Saccharomyces cerevisiae S288C: one gene and its partner. The protein of the gene in region 1 purifies or fractionates together with the protein of each later gene. This does not show direct contact. Each region holds a gene or a part of one and is shown in the gene's direction. Other genes may lie near its edges.

Region 1 (2,747 bases):
TTATTAATCAAAAGCGACTTTTGGTGGAATATTATGATATGTGTTGTTAAAATATGACGTAATTTTAGAATTGTCTGATTCGTATTCAAATTTGGTGAAGGAATAACGCAGAGTTGACAATTTAATAGAATGGATTAATCGTAATTTTCAGAAACGTAGAAAAAGAAAAACAATTAAAACATTATATTAAGATTATTGATTTGCCTTTTAAGGGTCCATACTCCTGGGAGAGAACATTCAGGATAATATATATACCTGAGAAACTGGCGAGTAATTTGATAATTGTTCGGATTGCATTGTTGCCGAATCCTATAACATTAGGTATACATAGTATACAAGCAATTCTCCCGACGTTATAGGAATTCACAAAAGAGAATCGATGGTGTTACTTTATCTTCCTTCCCGTTATACTTTGTCTTTCATTATCCTATTAGATTACATTTCAGTTTCCATCAATTTTTGATGGCTGTCTCTCAATTTATATTATCTTCTTATACCGTATATGATGGTATACTAGTTTACAATATTAGACGATGGATGATGATTGGTTCTTATCATAATTTGATTTCGGCAGAAGCAATATTAGAGGTATTGTTGTAACGAAATTCCAATGTCATCTGCTTAGTATTATTAATGTTACCTGAATATTATCACATGCTGCTTAAAAATGTGTTATAAGTATTAAAATCTAGTGAAAGTTGAAATGTAATCTAATAGGATAATGAAACATATGAAACGGAATGAGGAATAATCGTTGTATCACTATGTAGAGATATCGATTTCATTTTGAGGATTCCTATATTCTTGGGGAGAACTTCTACTATATTCTGTATACATGATATAATAGCCTCTCCCAACAATGGAATGCCAACAATTATCGAATTATTCACCAGTTTCTCAGGTATACCTTGTATACCTAATATCTTGTATACCTGATATCATAATGTTCAATAACAGTAAAGTGCTAATAATTATGTATTTTTTTGCCGATTTTTCAATATTTCACCTGTTTATCGGTGTCAAAGTACTACGTTTAGTTTACTGTAGGGTTAGTTGATTTTTTTACGGCTAAATTTATGTTGTATTACGGGCTCGAGTAATACCGGAGTGTCTTGACAATCCTAATATAAACAGTCTTAGGGAAGTAACCAGTTGTCAAAACAGTTTATCAGATTAATTCACGGAATGTTACTTATCTTATATATTATATAAAATATGAATCATATTAAGTGGTGGAAGCGCGGAATCTCGGATCTAAACTAATTGTTCAGGCATTTATACGTTTGGGTAGTTCAGCTAGGGAAGGCCGGGTTTTATCTCATGTTGTTCGTTTTGTTATAAGGTTGTTTCATCTGTGTTTTATGAACGTTTAGGATGACGTATTGTCATACTGACGTATCTCATTTTGAGATACAACAATTTACAGTTGTACTGGTCCTATAGTGTAGTGGTTATCACTTTCGGTTTTGATCCGGACAACCCCGGTTCGAATCCGGGTAGGACCTTTTTTATTCATTTTTACATAATATATGCTGAATATATTGGTTAAAGAGGTTTTTTTAGTTCCCAAATGTCCACAGTAAAGTAGATAAAGCAATAGCTATTTCCATCAAATCCAAACAATATTGTATTACCCACTTATTATTAAACAATGCATTTATTGGAGAAACACCCGCTTTCCGGGTAATAGCAGTCTATTTATTCTCATTCATTTATAAGCGGCGGAGAAAAATGATTGAGGAATTGATATAATTACACAGTAACTTTACGGAGCCTAAGGTAACAAGTGAAGTTTGGATAGCAGTTTTATTCCCATTTTTATCTGCAGTATAGGGAACTTGGAATCACCTTTTGAAAGAAGAGAAATGCCTGGATTTACAGCTCCAACAAGAAGGCAGGTGTTGTCTTTATACAAGGAATTCATCAAGAATGCTAATCAATTCAATAATTACAACTTCAGGGAATACTTTTTAAGTAAAACAAGGACTACTTTCAGAAAGAACATGAATCAGCAAGACCCAAAAGTGTTAATGAACCTATTTAAGGAAGCTAAGAACGACTTAGGTGTCTTGAAAAGACAGTCTGTTATTTCTCAGATGTACACATTTGACAGGCTGGTCGTAGAACCATTGCAAGGAAGAAAACACTAAAACCTGGCCTAACTGGTCATTGCATGTAAGAAAGAACTTTCCAGTAATTTTTTCCTTCTCACGTCAGGAAATTCGTATGGTTATATCTTATAGAGAGGTGGCCGCCTTTAATTTGGAAAAGATATTATTAGATGATATTCCTAATTTTCGACCGATACTTTGCATGGTTGGACTTCAATTAGATCATGTAATTTACTTCCTTAATATCAATAGCATTTCTTTTTTGGTAGAAGATTTTTCTTTTCTTTTCTTTTCTTCAACCCACATGGGACTATAAGAGGAGAGTTTATAGCTTGTATATAAAACGCTATAACTAAAACATAAGCCCACTCTGAGGTGAGATGTCTTTACGGTATGATAACAAGCTGATGCAATGAGAGATCCTATGAATTGCTTGGATTCTTTTACATCAGGCATAAAGTTTCCGAAGTATGCAATAAAATGAGTATTTGCTTATTTATTGTTTGTATCGGGCGATCTTACACCTACTTTATGTGCGTAATAGTTGCATCTTCTTTTTTCGGACCATTCCATCGGATAAACTTCTTAGGTAAAAGTGAAAAAAAAAAAAAATTCGCTTATATATTAATCAAGTCA
Region 2 (4,397 bases), on another chromosome or scaffold:
ACTGGAGTTTCTTAACACTACTCTCCAAGATAATGTATCTTTTATTGAGGAAGCTAAATCAATAAGGAGACAAGACTACATCAATGAGTTAAGTAATTCTAACAGGTTCGAGCTTCATGGGGACATGACTAACTCAGACGCGCAAAGTAATCTAGGATCTAACGTTAGAAATTCTTTTCCGCTGGATGAAATTCCCGTTGATGTGGACTTTAACCTGGACTTAGATGATATAGTGAGCCATCAGGGGACACCTTTAGGCTCTCACTCAAGTTCACAGAAGGATGGAAACGATTTCAAGTTTAATTATCAAGGAGATGAATTGGTGTTGAATTTTGAGAACGATAATGAAAATAACAGTAATGGAGGAGAAGATACATCAGTTGAAAATGAAGGGCCGGTAGCCAATCTCAAAGACTACGAATTGGGGTTAGAAGCGCAGGCTTCTGAAGAAGAAAACGATCTTCAACAGAAACTTAACACCAGAATGCAAAGAGGACATCGCGCCGATGTAGGTGGGCAATTTTCTAAGGTACAATTTGATGCCAAAACGAGTTATCCAAATGAAGTTCTCAAATTCAACCATGGAAATTACAGTCACTTAATGGAAAAAAACAGGATTAGAAAACTAACCGGCCAAAATTTTCTCACCTCTAACATAAGTAGTTTGGTAAGGTCATGTGGTGAGGAAGAATTTTTTTCAACAAATTGGTTAAGTATATTTAACGACTTTTCCAATATAAAGACTAGCGAATGGGACTTATATCCCCAAGGTTTTAGTTCAGTTGAAAGAGGGAGAAAAAGAGCACATTCTTTAGTATCAACCCAAAGCTCAAGTAGTACCAGAAGTCACGAATATGGTAGGAAAAGTTTTCGCAATAATAAGAACGATAATTATTCTTCCGATATGGAAAATGATAATTTACTTTTAAACCTTGAACAAATTAATGAGGATTTGGAAGATGGGCACTATATTGAAGAAAACTCTCAAGGTAACATCCTAGATTTTAATTTGAATCTACCTCCTTCAAGTTTTGGAAGAAGTCATACCAGAAACTCAACCAGGTCTAGTGGTTTCAATGAAGATATAGTTGGTGCTCTCAGAAGGAGAGTCGGGCCATCTGAACAGAATTTTGCCGAGGAAGACGATTCCAGCAACAGTTGTTTTTCTGATGGCTCTCAGCAAAATTTGCAGCAGGACAAAACAAATTTTCAAGACGTCATTCTGGATTATCAAACTAAAAAATTCTACGATTACATCAAAGAAAGATCAATTGTTGTCGGAAGAACAACGCGCTCCAATCCGCCTTTCAAGAGAAAGATGCTGTTGGTTGACATCATCCCAAGCCGCATGGGCGAAGCTCAAACGGGAGCTAACTTTGATGATGTAGAAAGAGGTGTCAGCAGACAGATAGCCGCCAGTGCCTTCCTATCCTTACTGAATTTGGCTACGAAAGGGATGGTCAAGTTGAACGAATATCCTGTTGCAGATGCGGTAACTAAAGATCTTAAACTGAGAAGAGAGGACGAAATAATTGTATATGCCTGAATTTTTATTTTCTCCTTCCATATGAGCGACAGCGGTTACTAGCCGCTGTCCTCAGGTTAATGATCCAAGTCCGAGATCCGGGCCGAATATGCTTGCGGGGAAAGAAATAAAAGTGCATTGGAGAAGAAAAGGATATGCTCTTCAATTAGAAGCGCCGAAACACTAACATCATGCTAGCGATATCATACGTACACTATATAATGTAAAAAATGGGCTTAAGAATAACTCTCTTATTTCTTAACTTTTGTTGCGGTTGAAGAGCTTATAAAAGTACTAGTGGCCTAAAGAAGCTACAGCGCCGATAATAATATCGATTTCGACTTTTCTAGTATTTCGCCGATGATTACAATGATTAACAACAAAACTTTCAATAGAAAAACTACGGGAACACTGAAGAAGCTGGTTTTGTCATCAGACAAGTCACTGCGAAGATCTTTCAACGGGGCAAGCAGTACTAAAGACTTCGTGTTCTCGGAATCAAGTAAAGTAGAAGAATGGTGGGAATCAGCCAGATTTAAGAATATCAGTCGTCCATACTCAGCTACGGATGTTGTAAAGCATCGGGGCAGCCTTCCTGCTAATACTTCAATTTATCCTTCATCTTATCAAGCTCGAAAGCTGTTCAACTTACTAGAAGAGAATTTCAAGAATGGTACTCCACTTCACACGTTGGGAGTTATCGATCCTGTACAAATGAGTCAGTTGGCCCGTTGCAGAAATATCAAAGTTGCTTACATATCTGGTTGGGCTTGTTCTTCCACATTAGTTGGATCTACAAATGAAGTATCGCCGGATTTTGGCGATTATCCATACGATACTGTGCCGAATCAAGTGGAGAGAATATTCAAGGCGCAGCAATTGCACGATCGAAAGGCTTTCTTGGAGGCCTCCATCAAAGGTTCTACTCCTGTTGATTATTTAAAACCAATTATCGCGGACGCAGACATGGGTCACGGTGGCCCAACGACTGTAATGAAAGTTGCTAAGTTGTTTGCGGAGAAAGGGGCTGCTGGTATTCATCTTGAAGATCAGATGGTGGGAGGCAAAAGGTGTGGCCATCTAAGTGGGGCTGTTTTGGTGCCCACAGCAACACATCTTATGAGATTGATTTCCACCAGGTTTCAATGGGATATCATGGGGACAGAAAATTTGGTTATTGCAAGAACAGATTCCTGTAATGGTAAGCTGTTGAGTTCAAGCAGTGATCCGAGAGACCACGAATTCATTAGGGGTATAATAAGAGATAACGTGGTGCCTTGGAGCGAAAAATTGATTGAGATGGAGGACAAAAAAATTCCCAACTCCGCCATTGCTGACATGGAAAAAGAATGGTACCATGAAAATGAGCTGTTTACATTTGAAGAGGCCTTAGAAAAGCAGTTTACGGCAAGCGAGTTTGAAAGCTATAAAGAAAAGAAGGAAGACCTTATGGTAAACAAGCTGGGTAGAGCATACCTAAGCTTAAGAGAAATGAAACTTTTAGCTCAAGAAGTGACACCACTAAAGAAAATTATATTTGACTGGGATGCTCCGAGGACCAAAGAGGGATATTACATGTTTAACGGTTGTATTGAAGCAGCTATTAGAAGATCTTTGGTGTTTGCCCCATATTCTGATATGATTTGGCTGGAAACGAAAACTCCTGACCTGGAGCAGGCACGCTCATTTTCAAGAAAAATTCATAAACAACTTCCAGCTACCAAGCTAGTATATAACTTATCTCCTAGTTTCAATTGGAGCGCTCACGGCTTTGATGATAAGGCATTAAAATCCTTCGTATGGGACTTGGCAAAAGAAGGCTTCACGTTGCAACTGGTTTCCCTTGCCGGTCTGCATTCAGATGGAGTATCATTCTGGGAATTAGCCAATAGCTTCCAAAGTGACGGAATGAAAGCATACGTCGAAAAAGTGCAAAAACGGGAAAAGGAGACTAATTGTGATATCATGACACACCAGCTATGGTCTGGTGCAGAATATGTTGATTCCTTAATGAAAGTTGTCCAAAACGGTGCTTCATCCCAAACTTTAAGTACATCTGGTGAGAGCTTTACCGAAACGCAATTTTGAATACGCTTCAAGAAGATAAAAGTATAAATAATACATATTGCCAGCAACTTAGTCACATATCTCTTTTATCTCTATTTATCCTCTTTTTATTAATTTATGACCACGATCACTATATTTAGTTCGAAAGTTAGTGTTTGTTTTGCCAAGATATCCTCGCAGAAACAGTTTTACTTAAAGTTTCAGGTGTTGCGTGGAATGCCCCTGCTAAGCTGTCGTGTCGCGCTCTTCCCCGCGTTTGTTTCACATTATATATCATATGGCGTATGACGGTATGGGTGAAAATAAGCGTAGGCTGGTTGTGTGTATTTCTCTCGCACTTTGAAAGGGAAAAATAAAAATAGAGTCTATTAGGAAGCTCACATATGCCGGGAAAAATTACGTAAAGCATCAAAAGGGAAAGAAAATATAGGGAAAGATAAAACAAAAAGCAGAACGGTATCAGGCATTCTTGTTTTAGCCTTTATGTACGATATGGCGTTTATTATGGAGAATATTGAGGTATTCAACTATTTAATACTTGCTATAAATTCTGCCAAACTACTAATCATTCCGTTTATATAACTCAAGAAAAGAGAAATACAGAAACAAATAGATCAGATGCATTTCAAAGATTTAGGATTGCATGACTACACTCTCAAAAACTTGATGTATGAGAATAATTGCTGTAAATTTTATGATGCCGTGGATGAAAACAACATCTCATATGTTTTAAAATTTGTTCCCTCAGATGTGACTTCGGAAGGGGATACTTTCCCATTCGTGGATCGCTTTCAAGTAAAGGAAG

Evidence for each region.
Region 2: the proteins of ISD11 (region 1) and ICL2 purify together in Saccharomyces cerevisiae (affinity purification with mass spectrometry, with the first as the bait; one large-scale study listed by BioGRID). This does not show direct contact.

The regions. Positions count from the first base shown.
Region 1 is NC_001137.3:248,853-251,599, forward strand, and holds ISD11 (Isd11p), read left to right. Parts: upstream 1-1,865; coding exon 1,866-2,150; downstream 2,151-2,747.
Region 2 is NC_001148.4:566,485-570,881, reverse strand, and holds ICL2 (methylisocitrate lyase ICL2), read left to right. Parts: upstream 1-1,885; coding exon 1,886-3,613; downstream 3,614-4,397. Other genes in the region: REC8 (Rec8p), read left to right, coding at 1-1,546; HAL1 (Hal1p), read left to right, coding at 4,211-4,397. UniProt on the Saccharomyces cerevisiae protein: Catalyzes the formation of pyruvate and succinate from 2-methylisocitrate during the metabolism of endogenous propionyl-CoA. Does not act on isocitrate.